Linked DNA regions of Caenorhabditis elegans. The protein of the gene in region 3 interacts with the protein of the main gene of each other region in a pairwise test. Each region holds a gene or a part of one and is shown on either strand. Other genes may lie near its edges. The genes, in order: emb-30, mat-1, ftt-2 and F53C11.5.

Region 1 (8,011 bases), on a different chromosome or scaffold from region 3:
GAAACTCAAGCCTTACATTTGCATCAAACTAAAACTAGAAGAAACGAGTTTTGACTAAAAACACGTTTATAGGTGCCCGCAAAAAGCAAAATGAGATTGTAAGAGGGAAAGCCAAGAAAAGAAATGCAATAGATTGGAAAGGAGAAATAATTTCAAAGTAATACGAAATATAAACATAGAAATGCAATAATTTATCCATCGATTGGAAACTAAATGTCATCATCTTCTTCATCCTCATCTGATTCTCCATTATCCGTCAAGTCACGTCCACTATCCATAGCTTCTTGAACAAGAACATCATACTGAACATCATTCATGTTCATTACTCCCATATCTTCCCGATATCGTTCTCGACGTCTCTGATAGTCGCGGAAAGTTTTTCGAACAGTCTTCTCCTCATAGTCAGCGATCGGTGGAACCTCTGGTTTCATGTCTCCAATCGTGATTTTACTTCCGTCATCGTGAAGATAGGCAGCCAGTTGAATTGTTGGATGAATTATTAAGGTTTCGATTGGAATTTCTGAACTTCCATCTTCAGAGCTATTCTTTGCAAATACATCTTTATCTTCTGGGATTTCATGAGGATATGAAGATATTGATCGCATCATTTGTGACATCACGCCAGTTCCTTCCTGTGCGGATGTGAATTTTCCCTGAAAAATGTGATTTTGTGGAATCATAGTAATTACTAATCAAAATACCAATAAAACAAGTTCTCCATGATGAAGGGGGTGAACTTGACTCAATTCGATGAGAGTATCGTACTCAGGTACCTGAAAAAAATACGTTTAAAAATTTTGTTTTTTAAATCGAGGCGCAACAGTGCTCCACTTTCAAAAAAAAATGAGAACGCTCCGCCCCCAATGATTGGGTCTCGTTAGGTATTGACGGGAAAACCGAAAATTAAAATTTTTTAAAGCATTTTTGTGATGTTTTTCGTGTTTTTCATAATTAAAATTATCCGCAAACAAACCACTGGTCCAAGATCCACATCAATTCTCAGCTCGTTACTATCCACTTCCATTGCATCAGTTTCCCCTGGTGGTCTATTCTCGGCGCTCGATTTATCAACTGTGACATCAATTTTCTAAAAAAAAAAGCTTATTTAAATGTGAAAACTTTTATATATAAAATACCTCAAACTCATAGCATCTCTTCAGCTTCTCAACATGATCGTTCACTTCATTTTCATCTTCAGGCAATACATCACTCGTTGGTACAATGACGATTGAGCTGAATTCATTCTTTTGAAGCACAGACACTTGAATTGATCGTCTGAAATTAGAAATAAGCAATAGTCAAAAATATTTGGCTTTTAATGAAAAGATTACCCCATTCCAGATAATTGATTAAATGGATGTCTTTTGTAATATGATGGAGTGACACTGCTGATCTTTGCGTCTTGATATCCTTGATGGGTAGGTGTTGAAGTAATTTCATAAATGAATGAAACTTCCAACTTTTTCTGATTTCCAGCTTTATCACAATGAATTTTCTGAGGAGAAGATAGTGTGGCAGCCAAATCTTCAAGGACCCGTAGAATTCTAAAAAATTGAATATAAAATTATACTAGTCAACTTCCAATTTCTCACCCCATTTTCTGAATCTCTATTGAATTCATACGACTTCCTCTTTCATTCAGAACACAATCGAATGTTTCATCGCATTTTGGAAGAACTTCTAGCGCTTTTTGTGACAACTCTTTCTCGAAAAATGAGCCAACTCTATCCAAATCACATGCAGGTTGTGGTTCTCCTTCTGGTTCAGGCTCCTCATCCGGTTTTTGCTCTTCTTGCTCTGGCTCTCCTTCGTCTTCTTCAAGAAACGGGGAAGAATCATTTTGTTCCATCATACTATCAGTAAAAATGTCAATAGGATGATCCAATTCTTGAAAAAGCAATGGAGTCAAGTCGTCATCATCTAGATCGGCAAATCGGAACTTTTCGTGGAATCTGAAAATATATAAATTACAAATTGAAATTGGAATATATTTGAAAAATAATAATTTTTGGTAGAAAATTATTGTGGTATTTGATATCAGGGTGTCAATAAATCTATTATCTTGGTGAATATAAAAAATTGAAAACTGCTGTAAGAGCTTCAGAGATTTTTTTTTAAATTTTACACCAAAATTCTTAAAGTTCTTGATTTTTGAGGTTTTTTCGGGAATCTTATGATCCAGTAGCAAACACGATGCCTCGGGTGTTTCCAACAAATCTGGGGATTATAGGGGTTTTTGGCATCCTGATTCCAAATATCTCAATAATTTTCCGCAAAAAAATTCTGAGTTTCAGAATACTTCAAAAATTTAGAAGTCATGTTACAAAACATACGTTTCGATTAATTTCTTCCTTTCAACTTCGGCAATTCTCTCAAGTCTATAGAGATATTCAACCTCATCAAACTTGTCTTCCAAATCTTTTTTCTTTTGCTTCGAAACCAACTCCTTGAGGTTGAAAAGTCTGTTTTCGATATCTTTCACTGCTTCTGGATCCGGAATGAAATTTCTCACAATGTACTGAAAAAAGTGTACTGTATAAAAGTAAAGGATATAAATGGCTTACAAGCAGAATTTTTGCAATGTTCATTCTTTTTATTTTCATCAAAGCATTAACTTTCATCGTTTTTGCAAATGGTTTTGTCATGGATATCCATTTGACGAGATGTCCAAGTTCTTGCCTGAAATTTGGTTTTTTTAAATTATCATTATTGTCTACATCTAGATCGTCAGATTTCTTACATCATAGTCAAGCATTGAATTCCAAGATGACGAGTTTTCATATCAAGAATATTGATTTTCTCTTCCAAAGTGTTCAGCCAAATATTCGATTCTGACAGGTATGCTGGCGGATCCTCATCATAAAGAAAACTGTCGTCATCTTTCAATTGAATAAACTTTGCATAACGAGATAATGATGTCGAGAATTCACATCGCTGGAAGCACAAATTTCGGGCTGACGTTGAGAGTTGTCCCCGAGCAATACGACAAACTTCCCTGAAAACCGATTAAAATTAGTAACAAATAATATATTCCAGTTGCGAAATGTTGCGCTTTTTACGACAAAACTACCGTAACGGGTCTCGAAACGACGAGTTTTTGTTAAATGCGAAAATGGTGTGTACCTTTAAAGAGTACTGTAATCACACTTACATATCGGGTTTGCTCAAGTTTTTTTCATGATTTGTTTAAATTTTTTTGTTTTAATTAAAAAATTTCTTAAGGAAAAACTTTTTAAAAAATCAATTAAAATTCCGCTGTGTTCTTTAAAGGCGCTCATCTCTTTGCATTTAACAAAAATTGTCGTGTCGAGACCTTCACCCAAAAATCGCAACATTTCAGGTAATATTACATACGGCATGTGCTTCGTTGCAAAAAGCTCAATTTTATCCAATCCATCAGTTCCGAGACCTCGTTCAAGAAATGCCTCGCCAGCCGCATCTGTCGACCCGGAGAGCAGCATTTCGAGAAGCACATTTCCAATTTTTACAGCTTTCGTTTTTGTATCGAATAATGAGTGAAGATTGTCTATTTGCTCTTCCCAATTTCGTTTTGTAGTTTCCAGAGAAATGCTGTACAAGTTGAAGCCAAATAGAAGGCGAATGTATCTAAATTTATTTTTAAAAGTAAATTGTTCGAGCTTATCGCAGAAATTCAAAAGCTTACCTCAGCGCAGTATCCCAAAGCGACGAATTAATATTCAATTTAACATTGAAAAGCAGCGTATGACATCCTTGGCCATCTTTTTTTGGTTCAGCTCCAGGAGGCTTCAACTCATTTTGTTTGCAGTCCAGAAATGGCCCATATGTAGTGGCGAGAAATGATACGCCACCAAACGCTGAACTGTAGTGCATATCGTAGAGCATGAGAAGGCTTTGATTGTATTGTAGAAGTGTGTCACTGATATCAATTTCCATATATGGGAACACACCAGCAACAAGTACAATAATCTTCGAATCCATGTCATCAGTTGCTAGAAGGATCGTATTTTGAAGAGATTCACGGAATGTTTCAGTTGAAATCAGAGTTCGCTCGAGACTTTCTTTATGTGCATCTTCGTGTTTGAAAGATGAACCATCCTGAAACAAAATTATTGAGGAACAGTTTTTTTTTCATTGAAAAAAGTCAGATTCTGTCGATTTTTTCAAATTTTAATTTCGAATAGTTCATGTGAAATTAATTAAACAATTCCACGGAAAATACCACGTCAGTAGATCTGATATGGTCGAATTTGATTGAAAAATCAATTATTTCTCTCAATTGTTTGTTGCAAAACACGTCGATCATATCATCAAGGTTAGTTTCTTACCTCATCAAGCCTCTGGTATACGAATGCGATTTCCTCTTGACTGATGTTCGGTGTCGTTTCTGCCAATTCGATAGCTCCTTCGATGGCTTCAACATCTGAAATTTTCGATATTGATTAAGGAGTCTCTAATTAGAATTAATTTCAGATGATGTTCACAGCAAAGTGTGCCATGCAAAACATCAGAAACGTGGCGATCGTTGGATCAGGGCAGATGGGATCGGGAATAGCTCAAGTTACGGCGAGTAGTGGATTCAATGTGATGCTGGCCGATGTTAATAAAAAAGCACTTGATAGAGCGATGAAGGCAATTAGTCAAAGTGTGACGCATCTTTCAAAAAAGCAAAAAGGAACTGATAAGGTATATATCGTAATTGTTTGAAGATTCTCATTCTTGTTTTTTCCAGGAAAAGTCGGATTTCGTGACTCTCACAATGTCACGTATCAAAACGTGTAACAATGTGTCAACCGCCGTTGCTGATGCCGATCTGATCATCGAAGCCGCCATTGAGAACATCGATTTGAAGCGGGGAATCTTTGCCCAAATCGAGCAGTCTTGCAAGAAGGATTCGATTTTGACCACGAACACTTCATCGTTCCTTCTTGAGGATGTCGCCAAAGGATTGCAAGATAAAACTCGCTTCGGAGGACTCCACTTCTTCAATCCGGTGCCAGTTATGAAGCTTCTCGAGGTAATTCGATCTGATGACACTTCGGATGAAACATATGCAACGCTGATCAAGTTTGGAACAGCTGTTGGAAAAACAACAGTCGCTTGTAAGGATAGTCCTGGATTCATTGTCAATCGTCTGCTTATTCCATACTTTTTCGAAGCAGCGAGAATGTATGAACGAGGAGATGCATCAATGACCGTATGTTGATTTTCAGCTTTCTAAAAACTCCAAATATCGTTTCAGGACATCGATGAAGCCATGAAGTTGGGAGCAGGACATCCAATGGGACCATTCGAGCTGGCCGACTACATTGGTCTCGACACGGTCAAATTCGTCATGGATGGATGGGCAGCAAAGTATCCAGAAGTACAACTATTCGAAGCAAGTCCATTGGTAGATAAGCTGGTTGCCGAGGGAAAACTTGGAAGAAAAACTGGTGACGGATTCTACTCGTACAAGAAATAATAGGAAAGATTACTTCTGTTTTTTGATAGAATAAAACATTCTTACTTTTGATTCTTGTAGTGAATTCTCCAAGATTGCTTATAAATGGCTTCTCACGAACACAATTCCAGTGGAGTTTGGCGATTTTTTCGGATGCAGCTCTGAATTTCAATAGATATTTCGAACTATTATATAGATCTCTTACTTGACTGAAAATCGAACTTTTCCCGTTTCCACATCTAACAAATGTATTATGCCTTTACTTGTAGCTGCTGCGAGAAAGCGTCCATCCGGTGAAAAGTGCAATGCAGAAACAGAGCTGTCCAATTTACATTCGGTTCCGACAGCTTGAATCATATTGATATTGGTCTGAAATATCCTGATTTGATAATATTTTTGAAATCTTCCTGTTACCTTCCAAATCATTTTCCATGATGTTCTTTTCAACAATATTTCGCCAGTTTTCGATCCAAGAGCGATGAGATCATTTTGCGAACTGAAACACATACTCGACACTTTGAATGGTGTGCGGAATGTCCGCCTATTATTGAGAATTTGAGTTTTGACTATTGAAAAGTCCATCTGAAATGAAGAATCGATAGTAGGGGTGCCTGGTCCGTAGCTCGAACAGGTATTCAATATTCAAGTCCTAGAAATTTGAAAGAACACAACACACAAAATGGAATTATCACAAAGTTCATAAAAATTGATTAATTATAACAATATGAATAATGTGCGTAGTGCACGTTTAAAGTCAGGTACAAGAGTGGAACGATAAAAGATCAAAAGTTGAACAGGGAGAACATTGTGGAGACGAAAATGATTGAGCAAAATGATTCACAAAGTCTAAAAAATTTAATAGAAGAACGAAGCACTGCCTCCTAATCTCTGGCACTGCCGTGACTTAATGCGACCTCTTCTCGAATAGCTTGAATTTCATGGAATCTTCCGCGTTGCATAACCTGCATGTACTTTTGCATTCTATTCCTTCGTGCACGTCTTTTAGATGATACTGATTGCCCTTTTCCTGGTTCTGTTTCCGTCTCTTCTTCAATCTCTTCAAAGTCTTCCTCGAACTCTTCTTCTTCTTGTGGTGTTCCTTCTGACGGCTCAGGTGGTGTATTGGCTCCGTTTGCAACAGGTTGATTGAGTTGAGCGTATTTCGATCTCTGCAAAAAATTACTTGGTGAATATAAAGATGTGATACTCTATTACCTTGATAGCGAATCCCCAGTGGTGCGGTTGTGGTTGTCCTGGGTCCACGGATACTCCGTTTGGTGAATTTTGATAGTCGGTTCCAGATACGCTGGCAGCTTGACTTCCCAACTCGCCAATAATTGTATTAATGAGCACAATATTTTCATGTTCCACAATTTCACGGTGTTTTCTCTTATTCTTCTTCTTTCTTTGGCGCTCAGACGAGTCGGAATCCGAATCCACTTGTTTATCTCGCTTGTCTTTAGCAGCCTTGTGCAAAGCCATCACATATGCTCCCTTTTCAATCGAATATCCTCTGGCTTGTTCGAATGCGTCAATTGCTTCATGTGAACTCCATCCAAGCCGGTCAATCAAAAAACGGCAGATCAGATAGCCACATCGATTAATACCATTAGTGCAGTGTACTCCAATCAAAGCATCTGGATCGTCGCATTTGTCAGTATAATCTTGAATTACTTGATGGAAGGACTCAACGCAATCATCTCTTTCGATAAACCTGGAAGTTAATTTTATTAGTTTCAATACGGTATCTGGTGATTTACCCTCTCCCAGGACAGTTGACTTTCTCATATTGTACACACATGCCAGTAATATCCTTTTTATCATAGTATCTGTCCGTGTCTGATAAGTCGACCACTAATCCAAGGTACTGACCACGTTCCGATAACTGAAACAAAATATTGTTATGTAGGGAAAACAATGTGTCCAGTTTACCTGTCGAAATAAATCATTTGTTGTGAATCTCTGCTCTTTATGAATTTTCGTGGATAACTGACTGTTGATTGGTGTCTTGAAAACAATGAATCGGGTTCGTGGAATGACATTGCCAACCGGTTGAAATTTAGACCAGCTGAAAATAAAACATGAAACTTGAGGTTAAAACATGTAAAGCAATAACAAGTTTTAATCGCTCACACCTAACTGAAATCGTGTAGGGCAGCGACTGCAGTGGTTTTTGAAATTTTCTCATTCAAATCATTTCAACTGCTCTCTCAACCGCCAACATACACGCATGTTCCTAATTTCTTTATATTTAAAACGAGACGAAGGAATATAGGCGGTAGTGAAACGGAGAATCAATGCAATGACCACAAATGTTATCGAAAATATAAAAAATATATCAATGCCAAATCCAAACAGCGTTTCATGGAGTTTATCTGGCCTTCTGATCTGGCAGTCTCCAAGAAAAGCTTCAAACAAGACCAATAATAAACAAAAATAATGAAATGCTCACTCTTTAGGGACTACTCGGCACACGCGCACCATTTTTACTCAAAAGGGCAAGACGAAAACAAACGGAAAAGTATGGATTGGGTTTGATACGCGTGCTGAATAGTCGAGTAGAAATTGCCAAATATTGCCGTCCGGGAC
Region 2 (5,349 bases), on a different chromosome or scaffold from region 3:
CGGCTTGTGAAACTAGATGGGCAGTAGTAGTTGAGCCGAGCAAAGCAACCAGATTCGGGGCAATCAGAGCCATTCGCCATTCTACAAGTTGGTGCATTTCGAGACGATTGACATGAAGTTGAGCAGCCAAATTACAAGCATCCATGACGGTTTCCAGCTCATTTGGCTCAAGCTTGACTCCTTGTGTTGTTGAGACTGTTACACTGACCACCATGCATGTTGAGGCATCTAGAATTCCGCCGAGTTGTTCTTTCACTACCTTGCTGTTGATCTCGTTTCCCAGTAACTGTACAGTAGCCAAATAGGTCAACGCGTTAGGAACAAGCGTTTCTAGTTCAGGAAAGCGCTTTTCATATTTATCACGAACAAATTTGTGAATCACATTGATCTCGTTGTCGATATCTGCAGCGACCTGAAATTAATCATTGCCTTTTTTGTTTCTTTTTCATGATGTACTTACGTGGGATAATTTAACAATAAGCTTGTATTGTGGATCTGCTTCAAGAGGAGCTGTCACCTTCACTTCATCCTGAGGCCGTTTCAGTTCAACTTCCAATTGTTTCACTAGTGCTAAATATCTGTAAAAGTATTTTAAAATTATATATTAAAACAAAACTAAAACTAACTCATCAGATCTGGCAAGCTTTGCTACATCGTGCACTGATGCATATTTAGTTGTATCCATCGGTTCTTCTGTTGCTTCTTCAATATCATCATCGAGTTCTTCCTTTTTGACGCCCTGAAAATTACAATTTTATCAGATGCTGCAAAAACTCTAGATTTTAAATAATTTAAATTTTAAATTCGATTTACCTTAAGGTTTTCTCCGAGATCTGGAATGTCTTCCAAATCCTCATCGTCGTCATCGTCAAAATCAGCCATAAGTTCTTCAGCCAACGACATTTTTAGGTAGTTTAAAGATTAACTGAAATTTTAGATTAAAATAGTATTTCAATTCTCTTAGTTAAAAGAAAAAATGAACAAGGCAAAAAGAAAAAAAGAAAAGAAAAAGAAAAAAAACAATTTCGAAAAACATTAGGATTGCGAAGTACGGTATGCGACTCCGCAAACACAAAAGCACGCAATGCACCTCATCTGACGACAATTGAAGACCGGCCGCCGCCGGCTGTAGTCGGGCGCAAAAGTTCACGTTGTACGCCGTTCCCCGTCTTTCTCGTTTCTCTTCATTGCTGCAGTTCGCTGGAAATGATCTACTCTTCAATTCGATGACATTTTCTCGGCAATCGATTCATACAACGTTCACATGCCTGCTGGCAAACTATTGCATTTTTTCCAAGCTTTGTTTGAAACCAATCGATAAAACTCAAATGATCCTCATTTAATGTGAACGCCTGATCAATTTTTCTTCGATTTCTTGGCACTTTTAGTTTTTAAAGTTTGAGTTCAATTGTCAGTATAATCGATACAATAACCTAAGGGATGTATTTGAGAAATGGTCAAATTGATTTTCGTTTCCCTTTTGTTCGCCGATATCTCTTTTCTTGAATATCACCGCTTTTCTCGATTTAATAGTTTATTTAGCGTTTCTTCAGGTCGCGAAGAGAATGAAAGAATCAGCTGCGTCTGTAGCTGTGCGGCCTCAATTGAGAGAGGTGTTCGAGCGTTTTCCAGCGGACGCACACCGAACAATTGAAGATGAGATTCATGAAATGATGAAGTGTTACGCTTTTGATGATGCTATTTTTCTAGCCGAGCTTCATTACGAAACCGATAAAAGTGGTTTTCGTTTTTAATTCATATTTTAATTTCAATAACTTTTTTTCAGGCAACAACTCCGAATCTCTTCTTCTATACGCTGATTGTCTGTATAGAGCCAATAAGAAAGAGGAATGTTATGGTCTCCTTAGTTCAGTTAAATTGAGCGGAGCTAGACTCTTCTATCTACTTGCAAGGGTATCCTACGATTTAAATAAGTTAGTTTGTAATATATATGTATATTTATTCATTATTTTAATTTTTCTTTAGAATCGATGACTGTAGAGGAGCTCTTTTCGAACATGACGATGGAGTGATACGGAAAGATATCCTGGAAGAGCCACGGGTTGCATCACATGCTAATTTGCTTCATGCTCAAATGCTTTGCGATGAAAGTTACATGGATCTGGCTTTAGAATCTTGTCAAAAGTCTCTGGATGAGAATATTTTGTTGTGGTCAGCTATCATAACTTATTTACGGTTTGGAGGTCATGATCTCGCCCATACTTTTGAAAAACATCACCGAAAATCGTAAGATTCTGAGAATGTTTAAATTTAAATATTATGCCGACATTTTTATAGAAATGGTCTATACCTGGATAGTCCAGCTTCGAGTTTGAAATCCGAAACACCATCACCAAATGTTCCTGGGCCGTCGTCTTCTTCAGCTGCCAGCACTGCTGAACCTTCCAGACTGGAAAGTTCGGTCAGACGATCTACACGCGGTACGATTGCTTCGGCGAATCGCGAGACAAGAAGTGAGTGAAGCGGAAAAAACTATTGAAAAATTTTCCGTAAATTTATAGGAAGTATTTATAGGATTTTCTTTTTTGGAGAATAAAATTTTGGAATATCAGTTTAGAAAAAAATCCGACTCTAAAAATGCGATTTTTCAAAATCCACTATTAAAAATTTTTGAAAGATCATGCTGAATCAGAAATTAAAAGTTACAGATACCACATCAAACATCACTCCAAGACAATCCACTCCTGGATCCACACCTTCACGTATTAATCCAACTGCCCCGAGAAAAAGCTCCAGAATCAGTGAAATGACGACACGACGTACCGAATCTTCAGTCACTGGATCTCGATCATCGTTATTCACAGAACCCGAGAGACCACACACGAGGGCTACACATAGCTCTAGAAATCGCGCAAAGTGAGTGGTGACAGATTTTGAAATTTTATTTCAATAATTTCAGTGCTGCACTAAACAGCGATACGGAGAATTCGAATGCATCGAATACGAGAACTCGGAGTGGAATTGCATCAGTTACCAGAGGGTCATCGTCGTCCCAGAGGGTAACATTTATTTGGACACTGAAATTAATAATTTTCTAAATTTAGACCAATCCTGTGCGTACTTCAATCAGAATTGCTGACGCCGCCGCTGCTGCAAACAAGACTGCCAAAACTCTGAGTCAAAGAAGACGAAATGAAAAACAACCTTTGGTATCCAGAAACTCAAATCTTGCACGGAGTTTGTCGGGTTCTACCAATTCTGTAAGAATATAATGACCAGTTATTTTTCTTCAATTATTAGCAGCTTCAGGTGGCATCAACAGCTAGTGAGCGTCCATCAGAAGATGAGGTATCCCAGATCAATCCTCCTCTCCCTTCTGTGGCTTCTTCTTTGAACAATGATGAACCTATGGATATTGTCGATGGAGTTTACGATCCAGAATACAGTATGAAATCAGTTAATCAAAAATTAATGATTTTATTTGTTCTTCAGAGAAATTATTTGATGTTTATCAACACATTGCACTTATTGAAGAGTCAATCAGTACATACAATTGGAGATCGGCTGATGCTTTATTCGCAAAACTCGATAGAGATATCATTCTTAACACGTCTATGGTCCGTCTTCAGTTGGGAAGAGCTTGCTTCGAGCAATCCGAATACAGAGAGTGCCGGAACATTCTCGATGATTTGCATAAACGTAGAAAGTGGAAGGTTGACGGAACCGAGCTATTGTCCACCTCAATGTGGCACCTTCAAGATACTCATGCTCTTTCGGCTCTTTCTCAGATTTTGACAACTGAATCACGGGAACGGCCACAGAGTTGGTGTGCCGCTGGAAATTGCTTCTCATTACAAAGACAGCATACTCAGGCAATTGAATGTATGGAGAGGGCTATTCAACTTGACAAACGATTCGCCTACGCATACACTTTATTGGGGCATGAGCTTATCGTTCAGGATGAACTTGACAAAGCTGCGGGATCTTTCAGGTATTTATAGGATCATGAAAGTTTTTAATTAAAACATTAAATTTTCAGATCAGCACTTCTCCTTTCTCCTCGCGATTACCGTGCCTGGTATGGTCTCGGGTTGGTTCACCTAAAGAAAGAGCAAAATCTGACTGCACTGACCAATATCCAGAAGGCTGTTAATATTAATCCAACGAATCGTGCAATGCTCTGCACACTGTCCCAAATCGAGCAACAACGTGGACAAATCGATACTGCTCTCGTGCTGATTGACAGGGCTCTCACTCTGAATCCTCTTGATGTGGCTTGCCGTTTCAATAGATCACGTCTCTTGTTTGAGGCGAATCGAAATGAAGAATGTCTAGTGGAACTTGATAAATTGAAAGCTAGTTCGCCAGATGAAGCATTCATTTTCCATCTGCTTGGTACGTATTAAAATTAGTTATACTATTTTATATAAATTTGAATTTTTCAGCACGAGTTCACCGAAGAATGGGAAATACTCATTTGGCTCTTCTTAATTATAGCTGGGCGGCTGAGCTGGATCCACGTGGCGAGCAGAACATCACTGACTCGAATGTTATCAATCGCGAGGAATACGAGGACGACGAGTACGGATCGCCAGTATAATTTTCATAACTCGTTCTACTTCTCGATAGCTCATCATAGCCAATTTCGTGCTATAATCGTCTTTTTTGGCGCGGGTTTTTCACTCGTCTTTTCTTTCTTTTTTACTTTTACTCTGTTCTATACTAATCGCGGATATATATATATAGTCTGTCGAAGAAAATGCTTTGAGACTATAAACTCATTTTTTGTCAAATTCTTAAATTGTAAAGCAGGAACCCATTTATCTATATTCACAAGCTTTTCAAAATTCGCCTTATAAATTAGAATTTAAATTATATATCACTTTCCGCTATTTACACAGTGATTATTTCACAACCAAACACGAAAAAACTAATTAATCACGGTGTAGGACAAGAAGACAGAGGTGGAGTGGATGTGGTTGTTCGTAGAATCAATCGAGCTAGAATAGCATCAGCAGAGGATGTCGCTTCAACAACGTCGGGCCAATTACGACGAGATGCTTCGGCTAAAACACGAATTTGTTTAGCCTCGTCGGCAAGGTGTCCGATCCATTTTGACTCGACTTCAGTAGGATCGTCCAATCCCATCTATAAAATTAATTTATACAGATTATTTTTTTGTTAACGTACCTTTGCATATACAATACTTTTCGTCCATAATTTCTGTGATTGTAGATACTTGCAAGCATCTCCACCAGCTCCGACCAAGAACAATAGTTCAACTCCGTCTTCAATCAAATCGGATGCAATCAAATTTGTAGCGATGAGCTTTATCAGAGATTTTGCTTTTTCGTTATCCTGACAAGAGACTAGCAACGCTGCTTTGAT
Region 3 (3,889 bases):
TATCTCAATTACCAGTGTACCAATTACCACTCCTTATATTATCGGCTGTAAAAACCCCAATTTTTTGGTTGTTAGCTGGCGCCGCCACCTGGCGTTGCAAATGAAACCTACCCGTCCAAATAAGTAGTTTTCAAGTATGTCACTAACCAAAATTTTGCTATATCTGTAAAGCCAATTTAACTAGAAATAAACCTATGAAAGTGTCATGTACCGGAGATTTAATCCAGGACTCCACCTTTTCTTATTCCTCAATGAATATGAACATTAAATTCTAGTTTTCATCTTTGTTCATATCTATAATAAATGAAATAAATTTTGAATTGAACCTTAGCAAGTGCCTAAGACGTAGTAGTTATCTTGGTTAAGGAAGAACAACCTGCAATAACAAGATGTCGCTAAAAGAAAACGTTCGTTTCAGTTTTCTTTTCTCATTCGAACTTTGTTCAATTGCACTAATTTTTATACATTTGGATGTCAATCGGAATCCTCCCCTCTTAATATTTCTTCGACGTGATTATCTGCGTTAATTTCTCATATTGAAGTTGGTGTTACAACTTTATTATGTGTATTCAAAAGCTTGGGGGTGTTTCGAATGTCGAGATTTGAAAGGGGGAAAAGCCGTAACAAAACGGAACATTGAATTGTATGGGTAGAGACGGGAAGTTTTGATGAGTGGGCTCAGCACAGAAATTTGAATAACTTCTGCATTTGGTTGATGGGAAAAGGGGAGTGATTGATGAATTTATAGAAAAAAATGGAAAGAAAAACGATGGTTTAACTAGTCAATGGTAATAAATAAATCATATGACAAATAGTATTATTTATCATTTTCAAGATCGAGGTGAGGGGTGTGTGGCGGTAACGTGTCGGTGTGAAGGAGTTAGTTGCCTCCCTCTGTCTCGTTGGCATCAGTGTCATCGGTGGCAGCGTCCGAGGTCCAGAGAGTCAAGTTGTCACGGAGAAGCTGCATGATGAGGGTAGAGTCCTTGTATGAGTCCTCGTTGAGGGTGTCGAGCTCAGCGATGGCGTCATCGAAAGCCTGAAAGATTAAAGGTAATCAATAGCTTTGAAGTTACGATGCTATGTCAAAAACTTAACGAGCACCTGCTTGGAAAGCTGGCATGCTCTATCCGGGCTTGCTGCTACTTCATAAAAAAACACCGAATAATTGAGTGCAAGACCAAGGCGAACACAGTTCGTTGGTGACAGATCTTTATTTGCAATTTCAAGTGCCTCCGCGTAAGCCGTTTGTCCAATGTTGGCTACTGCTAAAATAAAATAAAAACATTAACACACCTGCTTGGCAAGCTGGCAAGCCTTGTCCGGGGCGTTCAAGATCTCATAGAAGAAGACAGAGAAGTTGAGAGCAAGTCCCAGGCGGATTGGGTGAGTTGGTTGCATCTTATCCTTGGCAATGTCGAACGCCTCTTGGTAGCTTTGCTGCGACTTCTCGACAACCGCTGCAAAGAAGGAATATTCATTTCTGGTCTTCTTTGAAACGAGTATGACTATGAGAGGCAGAACTCCCTAGAGGAGAACCCCCAATGAGCTGCCCTAGAGTTTATTTTCAAAAACTACGCATCGATGTGGAATTGGGTCGCGCCTGAACTCCCGTTCTCTGTCTTCCCTATGATATCTTTCCACACTTCACACAAGGATGCATAGCTTACGAATGAGGGTTAGAAACGAGTGCACGGTTATGTCCCAATTACAGTCATCATTTTCAATCACTTACAGTTTCTGTCGTCTCCGGAGGCGACCTCAGCGAGGTAACGGTAGTAGTCTCCCTTCATCTTGAGGTAGAAGACCTTGGACTCGGCGGCTCCAGCCTTTGGAATGAGGAACTTGTCGAGCAAGTTGAGAACGTCTTGGCAGATGTCGCGGAGCTCCTTCTCAACCTTCTCACGGTATTCCTTGGCCATTTGTTGCTTCTTCTCAGATCCTTCGGTCTTCTGCTCAATTGAAGAGATGACTCTCCATGAAGAACGACGGGCTCCGACGACGTTCTTGTAGGCAACGGAGAGAAGATTGCGCTCCTCGTTGGAGAGCTCAGCTCCCAGCTCGGTGACCTTCTTCATGGATGCGGCCATGTCGTCGTAACGCTCAGCCTGAAATTAAAGTTTTAGTATTCAAGAACATCCTGAGACATCTACATACCTGCTCGGCAAGCTTGGCGCGGTTCACGAGCTCTTCCTTTCCGTCAGACATAGTTGATTTAGTTGCTTGAAGTGGATGAGTCACTGAAAAACGAGAATATAAAGAGTTTGATACAAAAAGGTCAAATGAGAAAGAGAAGAAAGAGGGCGGTAAACAAATGAAGATTGTTTGAAGAAAGCAAAGAATGGCTCCTTTCCGTATTCTTATATGATATGAAACTGATGGGACATTTTCATCTCTTCTAACACGAGGCGTATGAGCCCTTGTAGAAGTATACACAATGCATCAAGAAGAAACGAGAAGGACGTTGTCGAGCGAGTAATGTTGAACAGAGTGAGCGGCACCCCTCCCAGCCCTCCCTCTCGTTTTCTGTGCGTCTCTCCCTATCTGCCGAAAGGAGCGCGCACCATCATTTTAGGGTCTGTAAAAACCATTCAAACTGCGAATTTCAGAATAAAAATTATATATTCTGAGAGGGGAAAGTCTGTTTCATCAGCTAAAGTGAAGAAAATATAAGTTTTGATATCTGTGTTTAAAAAGAGCCGTTTGGCGCGCTACAAACACACAATTGCGGAGTGATTCGAGGGGGCTGCCAACAGAAAACCGCCGCCTCCTACGACTCATAAAGGGTCTCTTTCGCAATGTGTCAACAAGAGCGCGCACCACATTTCTTCTTTGAAGGAAGTCAACATAATTTCAGATATATTAGATGAAAATTAGATATTCGGGTTCGTCTTTTTCCGGGCTTTTAGTTGACTAGAAACTCGGCCTAAAATCTTGAACTTTGAATATTTTTGTGCAGAAAATAGGACGAAAACATCGGACATGCGGAGGCTTCTAGGGGGCTGCCTTTTGCCCACCCACCAGGCGCTCGGTCGTCATTTGAAGTCGCTCTGTTATTCAAATAGAAAGAGCGCTCACCATAACTCTTTGGGCCATAATTTACCTTCAAATTATCTTGAGTAATGTATGGTCTGAAAATTTGAAAATGTGACTACAGAAGCTTGCCGTTTTCAAAGTTAAATGATGATTCTTGCATGTTCCTGGATGTTTCTGGAAACTTGGAGCAAATTCAAACAATGCGGCAGCGCTTTGGGGGCTACTTTGACGACCGCTGCAGACTTGTTCTAAATCAATGACCAGCGGCGGTGGGCTCGGAGGCTCGGAGCTGATGCGGTTGGCTCTCGCTTCACAACAGCCTAGGATCGAATATGCAGGGCGCGTAAACATGCAGGCAAAACAGGCTGATAATCGTGTTACTTAACTTGAAAGTGCCTGGTATTTGCCTTAAATTACAAAGGAGATTCAGAAAAATAATTAGCATGATAAATTTACAATTCTAAACTACATATAAGGCCAGGTTCTATTCATTCTTTTCATTAATTCATATGTAGAATTTTACAAAAATGTTTATTACAATAGTATCTGTAATTTTTCCTGATGTTTCTGAAACTGTAACTGGTATTTTGTACAAACATCCATATCAATTAGAATTGGTGTCGCGGAACACATCCGACTGTTGTTTGATCTTCATTTTTGTTGTCTTCACTTCCGATTTTCGAGGAAGTACATGTACATCTTCATTCTTCCTATCCCGAAACCTTTCAAACCCCATTCTATCAAAACAGAATTAGGAACAACAGATGCGTGGTGTGGTGCGCAACTATACAGAGACCTTCAACGCAATTTACGTCTTATCTATTCCACATCTTCTTTCACCGTGCAGTGAGGT
Region 4 (7,992 bases), on a different chromosome or scaffold from region 3:
GAAAGGTCTTTGCATATTGAGAAAATTTTCCACAACACGTATAGTAACTGTTTTGTCGGTAAAAACCAGTAAAATACTTTTGCAAATTGGTCAGTTATCCCCCGTACATGCGTATTCACTCATCCGAAATCTGGTTTGTGATCGAAATAGCAAAAAAGTGATCGTACTCACAAGTCGTTCATCATCTTGGCGCCGTGTGTGTTGGCCTTCAACAAAAAAATCCCTGGTCACATGACATAGGACAATGAGATGAAAGATCTTTCCGAAATGGGTGAGAGAAGAATGGGATATAAAAAAAAGTTCAATATTTTATTATTGAATTCAATTTTAGCTCGTTTCCAAAATCTGCTGGTTTTTCAACTTTTGCATTGAATTCGTGGTAAATAACAGACAAAAAGTCTAACGCCTCGACCCGACATTTTGCGATCATCTTTCCGTTTTTGCACGGGCCGCGAATAAAATAAACGATCGATGATCAATAGAAAAGTGTTTGTACTATACGAATGGCTCGCTTCAGAGTCACTATCAGCTCGTTTTTAAAGTTTATCGGTCGAAGGGAGCCAATGGGGCGTTTCAGACAATTTTTGAAAAAAAGTGCAAAGCGATTATTGATATTGACAGTAGCAGCCCTATGCGTCAGAAATTGAAAAAAAAACAACTTTTCTAAAATAGATGTATATTTACATCGATAGAAAGACGAATATAGTGTTTATTAAAACATTATTGCTCTCTAGCATCTGAAGGGTGGTGTGATGTATGCGCAGAATGTTCTCGGCGTTGTGAAAAGTCGATATTTGCGGGCGGAATAATTCTTTGATGGAGGAAAGAAAACATCGCTTTTGAATGTGAAAAGAACGGAGGAGTGGCTGAAAATAAGTGTTTTTCTGCATTTGCAGTCGGGTGGCGGGTGTTGCGAAAGTACTTACACTTCCACAAGCCGGGCGGATGAAAATAATACAATGGAACGGCTTGTAATAGTATCCTACAAAGAACCTCGGGGAAAAAAAACAAGGAATACGAAAAAAGACGAAGGAGAAAATCTTCGTCAAAAGCTCAATTAGTGATGGCGAGAGGAATTGGCTGAGATCGAAAGAACGCAAACGGGAATATGTATACACTTCAAAGTCTAATCGAAGATGAGGAGAAAGAAGAAACGGAGGGACGGATGCTAGTAAAACACAATTTGGCCGAGGGTCTCGAAGAAAACGTCCTATACACAATTTAACAAAGTTTTCTTTTGTTGAGCTCGCGAGCGGAGAGACTGCAAAATGTTGTCTATGGCCGATTATCATATTGAAAATTGATTTGGAAAGGAAACTGATAGCTCAAGGTGGCCTAAAATGTTGCATGGCTTATGCATTTTTGGAAAATCTAAAGAGATGTCTAGTGTTGTTCAAAATTTCTAATAGAACTGTTTGCCAATTGTTGACCAAAGACTCTTGCTCGGGCGGCATTCTCACGTATATCTAGGAGTCTAACATATTTTCTCTTCATCGTTATCATCTATACGTCCGAACCATCACGTGCTTCTCCTTTACTACATATACGAAGATTGGACGAAAGAAAGAAGTGAGGAGAAAGAAAGAGCGAGCCCAGGAGAGGAATTATTTATTGAACCGAGGTCTCTGCTTCAGACTCTATGTTTTCTCTACTTCCATCTTTTTGTCTGCGTCTCGACGATACATTGAGTTGTCAATAGAGCGGTGTTTCAACACCAACGGCAACCATCCCCCGACGGAAAGGAGAACGATGGCTGTGGCCGTCCACCACTCAAATTGATCGGCCACTACAAGCCTTTGTTCATTCGGTTGGGAGACTTCAGGTCTGCGTCTCCACAACACCCAAACACTATATTAGAGTATTTCTCTTTGCCGATTTATGTGCTGGTGAATGAGAACAAACTGACTAAGCACTTTATTCTCCCCCTATTCCATCATTTTATCACTTTTCATCCTGTCTTATGGACAATAATCAGAGGTCGGTGCCGAGTTCGCCGGCACCAGGTCACGGGTCTTCTGGATATTTTTCTCAACAGGTATATCCATCGTTCATATTTTATTCCGGTCTGATCAGTTTAATTGAACTGTAAACTATGAATTAATAGTTTAACCTTCTCAAACAATTGAATCTCAGGAAAGTACCCATCACGATGAGCGAACAACACCTCCAACAGCTTTTCATTTTCCGGCATCACATCAAGGACAGCCGGCACCTGTAATGGGCCAACCACCTGGTTTGTCACTTTCTTTTCATCGGTTCATTGAGCTAATGCAAGCACCCAAGAGCCATATTCGAGATAAATACGACACAAATATTTCGTAATTCACGTGACCCACACCTAGTTCCGGTGGCTCGTATTTCAAAAGCTTATTTATTCCGATCTCGTAAACTGCCAGTCAACAAAATTTCGTGTAAAAAAATTTTGATTTTCATTGAAACCAATGAACCTGAAAATGTTCGTTAATTTCACGCTCGATTACTCTTATTCTTCGTTAACTTTTCTCGATTCTTTAATACAATTCCTTCCACAAATTCTCCCAAGATATCCATCTAGCTCAACAGAATTGAAAATGAGCCAGAAAACGGGCAATATGGAGCTCACGAAGAATCCTCCTAAGAAATTGGCTCTCATTAGAAATGCATTGGTTTTCTCTTGTCGAACTGTGCACAAAGGACAAGACATCATTCTTATTTGACCCCTTCTATGTCACAATGCTTCCATCTTTGTCAATTACTGATCGATGGTTGTGAAGAGAAAAAGTCACATATACAGAAACAGACACAAAAAACCGGTTTCACAAAGAAATAGAGACCGACACACACACAAAATTTGACGATTTATGGCTGAACATGAGACATAGTGTGCCATTAAAAACAATCATTACTTTTTATTAACATCACTTCAATTTTTTGTCCTTCTGTGAAACTTTACGCGCGCGAAAAACGTGTCTTTTTGAATATATATCTCATTTATATCTGTGAGGTTTGACCTAATCATAAACCAATTTGATTGCCTATATAAACTTGTGTTGATTGTGTATTGAGTGAAAAGCTACATCAGTTGTATCTATAATTTTTGAAACTTTTCAGGCTACCCAATGCAGGCGCATGTTCTTGTCGATCCGGTCACAGGACAACATTACATTGTTCCACAGTACTACCCACCTCCAATGTATCCATATCCATCAGCACCACCTCCACATCCAAATGCTCCAATGTATTATCCATATGGTCATCATGCACCATCTCATGCTCCGATGCCTTCACAGAAAATTCTACCGCCGCCTACTACTTCGGCTCCGAGTAATTCTGGCAACAATTCTAGTGAGTTTTTAAGATTTTTTAAATTACAAAAAACTGCTTTGAGATGAGCTGAATCAGGGCTGAATTTTAAAAAAAGTTTCGAAAATGAAACAATTAAAAAAATAAAAAAAGTTTAATAATTTATCCGTACTTGTGCGTTAGTTTTCGAGTGTTTTTTTTTCGGAAAAAAAGTACAAAATTGAAAAAAATTAATGAGATTTTTCCTTTTTTCATGTTTTTGGCGAAAATTTTAATTTTTTTGTTTTTTTTTTGAAAAAATGTGAAAAAAAGGAACGAAAAAAGCGAGAAAATTGTGTTAAATTTTTATTAAAACATTATTCAAAACAATTATTAAAAGAACATTCTAGAAAGTAACGTTTCAAGCTTTAAAAAAAATAGTTGTTTCCTATTTTCGTTACCGGACATAAAAATGAAAATTAAATTTTTAAAAAAGAAGAAAGCAATTATTTTCCGGACTCAGGCGGCAGAAAACAAAAGTTTTCGTTTTTTTCCCCGAAAAAAAAATCTAAAACTAAACTTTTCGCCAAAAACACGAAAAACTAGAAATTTTCAGCTCTGATGCTAATATTAAATAATTTTCAGTTAACTATATGGGAGTTCAAATGTACAATAATCCAGTTCAAAGTCACGAGGAAAAAGAAGGTTCAGAAGATGCAATGTCAACAACTTCAAATATATCCAGAAGTTCTTTAACACTTATGCAAAATCAGAAAGTACCACCCACGCAACATCAACAACAATTTGGACGAGAGAATAGTCGAGAATACATGTATTTACATCGATCCCCAACTACAAATCCTGCTCCACCATCACCCTTAATGCGTCCCAAGCTGTTTCATCAACGATTAGAAACTGTTACCGATTCACGTGGCGGAACACAATCGGATTTCGAAGGAAAAACGCCAACGATGCGACAGAAATCAGTTGATCATCAACCATCATCGGCGTCAGATCATGAATCTGGAAAACGATTCTCGAGAACATCGTTCGGAACGCCAGCAGCAGCTGCTTCAATTGAAGAAATTGTGAAAAGTTAGTTTTTATTCCAAAAAATAAAAAAAGAAAAATATAAATTCAAAAATATAGCTTTTTTTTTCAAAAAAAAGCACAAAAGTTTTGTTGTTAAAACTTTATTAATTTTTCACTCTTATACAAAAAATTAATTCTCTACATGAAAGGAAATTGGCCATAATGTCTGAATGTAACTGTAGTTTTTAAAAATCGGAAAATCGAAAAACGAAACATTTCGATTTGACTTTTTATCTAATTTTGTTTATATTGATGAGAAGAAACATAACAATTTATTTTAAAAAAACAATGACCAAATTTTAAGCTAATTTTTTAAAAATCGAATTTTTGTTTCGAAATATCTGAAAATCGGAAAAAAAAAGAACAGCCATTTTTTGAAAAATTCTGTTTCTATTTTCTGTCATTTGAAGAAAAATACTTTTTTTTCACTCTTTAAGATAAATTTGAATTTTCAGCTGTCAACCCACCTGCAAAATCAGTCCGAATGGAAATTAATTTTGCCGATGTATTGTCAATGCCAAGTGAACCCAAACGTAAGATTTTTTATCCAATTTATAATAAAAATTATAAATTTTCTAGCAGCAAAGAAGTCCAATGCAACAGCATTCACGGTAAATTTGGGAGAGGAGAAAGAAGTATCTTTACAGGAAGCCGCACGGACTCTAGCTGAGGTACTCAGAAAATTTAACTGTTTTGGAATTATTAAAACTTTCAGAATCGTCGTAAAGTAAAGCTTGCAAAAAGTGCATCTCATGACCGCACCCCTTCAACCCCGGATGCCATTGCAGCGAGTAAAACCAACAAAAATTACTTGCTTGAAAGATTGTTGACTGGAAAAACTGCAATTGATAATAGCAATGAAGAAGAATACGTAGAAGGAGAAATAGTAGAGACACCAGAAGAACAATTTGATGCTCGATCGGAGGCTCTCACTTTTGTTATTGGTGCGTTTGAATGATTTGAAAATTTGAAAACATTGCGAAATATCTAAAAAACCGACCATAAATTGTTGAATATCACATGAAAAACGAAACGATGCAATAAAAATCCAATAGAAATTATCTAAATTTCCATTGTTTTCGAAGAGTTGTTTGTTTGATGTTTCCTCACACAAAATATATATTCAAAATAGAAATTTGATTGTCTGAGAATTATTTTATTTTCCAGACACATCAAAACGAAACAACGGTGGTGGTTATGGAGGACAAGCACGTTTTCAACAGCAACGAGTTGTACAGTACTCAGATGATGATGATTCTGATAGTGATAGCGAGTAAGTTACGGAATTAAATTTTTTTTAAATTATTAAATAATTGTTACGGAGAAAAATTAAATTGGAAAATTATGTTATTTCCTGAAAAATAAAAAAGAAAAGAAAAAATCACACTTTGAATTTTCGAAAAATTATTTTAAATTAGTCAGAGATGGTCTAAAAAAATGGTCGTGATTTTATGTGATTTTTTAACTGAAAATATACGGTATTTTGGAACCGAAAACTTTGTTTTAAAATTTAATTGTGAACTGAAATATATTGTTTTGAGATATTGTTTTAACGAATTTTCAAGAAGTTTCAACTTGGCAAAAAAAAAGAAAAATCATTCAAAAAATTTTTTATTAATTGTTTTTACGGATATATTCGGTCATTTTATGACCCATTTTCATAACTCCATTAATAACTCCATATTAAGATTAATTAAATTTATTTTAAAATTTCCAGATTTATGGATCAGTATGCCAATTCTCAATCGCCAAGACCCTCTCAACCACTTCAAACAATTGCACCACCACCATCACAATCATCTAATATTCCACCACCGTCTCTCCCTTCTCCCCGTCCTTCCGCCCTTCCAGCTCCTGGATTTTCTCGCCAAATTTCATCGGCAACTACACTGACGGCCCAAGCTCCTCCTCCTCAAGCACTGACGTCTCCACGAACTCCATCGACCTCCGCCTCTCCACGAACATCATCTCGATTCGATCGATCTGGTGGTGGAGGTTCTGACTTTTTGCAAGAACTCGCAAAATTGAGAATGATGGCCGGGCTTCCGGCTGCTGGTCCAACTGGAAGTGAAGCTGAACAGAAGGCAATGATGATGGCTCAACAACGACCAACGACGACGTTCAGAAGAAGTGAAGTAAGCTCATCCGCACGAGCTCCAACAGTTTCTTCGTCGCAAAAAATGGTTGGACTTGGAGAAAGAGGAGGATCAAGAGCATCGTTTACTGGGAAATCGAAGGAGACTAATACTACACCAACACCAACGTAAGTATCTGGAAATTATTGAAAAAATATAAAATTGTTTTAAAAATTATATTAAAATCCAAGTGGAAGAATTCCAAAAATCGTGTTTTAGATGTTGCACAAATTTCTCGATGAATTTTTTATTACCAAAATCAGGGTGGTTGCAAAAAAATTTATTTTTTTCATAATGCTAACTATCTAAAAAAAAAACATTTTTGAAAAAAATGTGTTTTTTTTCGGTCCGAAAAAACCAAAAAATCTATTGCCAACAACACAAAAAAAACGGCAGCTCTGTCAAAAATGCGAAATTTTGCATCAAAAAAGGTACCCGGTCTCGAATAACCGTTTTTTTAAATTAAAAATAGTGTGATCTTTTCGGAAGTATTGTAGCGAAATTTCACTTCCTTGATATATTTGTCAGTTTTAAATTTTGATTATTTTTCTTCTTCCAGACGTCGAAGCGAGAATCGTAGATCCCTGACCGGAAACTCATCTCCACAACTTTCAAATCTCAATCGTCCTCCATTCAAACCTGGAACACAACGTGGAATTATGATAGGACAAAGTGAGCAACAAAGGGAACAAGAGATGACTGCATGGCTTAGACGAAAAGATTATAATCCGATGAAGGCTGCGGCAGCTGCAAAAAAGCCTGAAATGACAAGGTAAATTTCCAATGTTTAATTCCCATCTTTACACCATCATTATTATAGAGAACAACAATTCACATCTCGTCGTTCAATGACTTTCCATAATACAAATGAAGCACAATCACCATTTGGAAGAGGACCTTCTGGAATATTACCATCTCGACCAGCTCCACGTAATAGATCTCAAGAGCCACGAGATATTAACAATGAAAAGTATCGATCAGTACAAAAAGATCAACGATTGAAGCGTACAGTTGATATGCTATCTCAAAAATGCAAGAAGAGCATAGAGCTTATTAGAATTCAAAACAAAGGATGTTTATCAGTTTCTGTAGAAGATCTTTTATCTGCAGCTGCTGAAGAACCTCGACTCAATGAGACACTCGATGATCAGCTCGACAGATTGTCGGATGCTTTCGATGCAGTACAAAGGTATTTTCAATCAAATTACTTGAATTGTTCAAAATAATAATTTTCCAGATATTTGGAGCAATATTCGCTTGACGGATACAACTCACCAACTTCAGAAGATCGATATTTTGACGATGATGTTCTAGATTCAAAATCGACATTTTCTGGTGTGAGGTAAGATTTTAAGATTTTTTCTAAAATAATTTTCAAAGCGTCATTTTTTAAATATCACTATAGATTAATATGTTATTTTTCCAGCACTCATCAAGAACGAAGCAATGTGCCATCAACGGAGTCGTTGACCAGTTCCTACCGAAAGAAAATTCTTGATTCTTA

Evidence for each region.
Region 1: the proteins of ftt-2 (region 3) and emb-30 interact in a two-hybrid assay, tested with the Caenorhabditis elegans proteins (one large-scale study listed by BioGRID).
Region 2: the proteins of ftt-2 (region 3) and mat-1 interact in a two-hybrid assay, tested with the Caenorhabditis elegans proteins (one large-scale study listed by BioGRID).
Region 4: the proteins of ftt-2 (region 3) and F53C11.5 interact in a two-hybrid assay, tested with the Caenorhabditis elegans proteins (one large-scale study listed by BioGRID).

What each region holds. Positions count from the first base shown.
Region 1 is NC_003281.10:9,435,455-9,443,465, forward strand, and holds emb-30 (Abnormal embryogenesis protein 30), read right to left. Parts: upstream 6,007-8,011; 5' UTR 6,005-6,006; coding exon 5,837-6,004; intron 5,792-5,836; coding exon 5,628-5,791; intron 5,584-5,627; coding exon 5,489-5,583; exon of another isoform or gene 5,444-5,488; coding exon of another isoform or gene 5,222-5,443; intron 5,177-5,221; coding exon of another isoform or gene 4,712-5,176; intron 4,666-4,711; coding exon of another isoform or gene 4,456-4,665; exon of another isoform or gene 4,453-4,455; intron 4,403-4,452; coding exon 4,308-4,402; intron 4,295-4,307; exon of another isoform or gene 4,245-4,294; intron 4,078-4,244; coding exon 3,665-4,077; intron 3,607-3,664; coding exon 3,355-3,606; intron 2,996-3,354; coding exon 2,741-2,995; intron 2,680-2,740; coding exon 2,565-2,679; intron 2,519-2,564; coding exon 2,334-2,518; intron 1,953-2,333; coding exon 1,593-1,952; intron 1,545-1,592; coding exon 1,332-1,544; intron 1,276-1,331; coding exon 1,137-1,275; intron 1,088-1,136; coding exon 974-1,087; intron 774-973; coding exon 702-773; intron 654-701; coding exon 210-653; and 2 more. Other genes in the region: putative 3-hydroxyacyl-CoA dehydrogenase F54C8.1, read left to right, coding at 4,456-4,665, 4,712-5,176, 5,222-5,443; putative tyrosine-protein phosphatase pir-2, read right to left, coding at 6,304-6,591, 6,638-7,136, 7,183-7,307, 7,355-7,490, 7,875-7,906. UniProt on the Caenorhabditis elegans protein: Probable component of the anaphase promoting complex/cyclosome (APC/C), a cell cycle-regulated E3 ubiquitin ligase that controls progression through mitosis and the G1 phase of the cell cycle.
Region 2 is NC_003279.8:5,123,404-5,128,752, reverse strand, and holds mat-1 (Cell division cycle protein 27 homolog), read left to right. Parts: upstream 1-1,551; 5' UTR 1,552-1,565; coding exon 1,566-1,737; intron 1,738-1,786; coding exon 1,787-1,934; intron 1,935-1,986; coding exon 1,987-2,247; intron 2,248-2,298; coding exon 2,299-2,474; intron 2,475-2,669; coding exon 2,670-2,877; intron 2,878-2,920; coding exon 2,921-3,020; intron 3,021-3,065; coding exon 3,066-3,221; intron 3,222-3,264; coding exon 3,265-3,406; intron 3,407-3,453; coding exon 3,454-3,952; intron 3,953-4,000; coding exon 4,001-4,356; intron 4,357-4,406; coding exon 4,407-4,561; 3' UTR 4,562-4,838; downstream 4,839-5,349. Other genes in the region: prp-31 (U4/U6 small nuclear ribonucleoprotein Prp31), read right to left, coding at 1-412, 461-578, 627-739, 814-903; Y110A7A.9 (WD repeat-containing protein 11), read right to left, coding at 4,900-5,109, 5,152-5,349. UniProt on the Caenorhabditis elegans protein: Probable component of the anaphase promoting complex/cyclosome (APC/C), a cell cycle-regulated E3 ubiquitin ligase that controls progression through mitosis and the G1 phase of the cell cycle.
Region 3 is NC_003284.9:11,603,173-11,607,061, forward strand, and holds ftt-2 (14-3-3 domain-containing protein), read right to left. Parts: upstream 2,248-3,889; 5' UTR 2,209-2,247; coding exon 2,158-2,208; intron 2,109-2,157; coding exon 1,736-2,108; intron 1,461-1,735; coding exon of another isoform or gene 1,297-1,460; intron 1,269-1,296; coding exon 1,105-1,268; intron 1,040-1,104; coding exon 881-1,039; 3' UTR 536-880; downstream 1-535. UniProt on the Caenorhabditis elegans protein: Required for extension of lifespan by sir-2.1. Required to modulate lifespan, in concert with hcf-1, acting redundantly with 14-3-3-like protein par-5. Promotes nuclear export of yap-1.
Region 4 is NC_003283.11:13,787,927-13,795,918, forward strand, and holds the start of F53C11.5 (Zf-C3H1 domain-containing protein), read left to right. Parts: upstream 1-1,960; coding exon 1,961-2,035; intron 2,036-2,133; coding exon 2,134-2,233; intron 2,234-3,090; coding exon 3,091-3,324; intron 3,325-3,906; coding exon 3,907-4,356; intron 4,357-4,808; coding exon 4,809-4,886; intron 4,887-4,932; coding exon 4,933-5,024; intron 5,025-5,068; coding exon 5,069-5,297; intron 5,298-5,520; coding exon 5,521-5,626; intron 5,627-6,070; coding exon 6,071-6,616; intron 6,617-7,047; coding exon 7,048-7,260; intron 7,261-7,308; coding exon 7,309-7,677; intron 7,678-7,725; coding exon 7,726-7,830; intron 7,831-7,914; coding exon 7,915-7,992.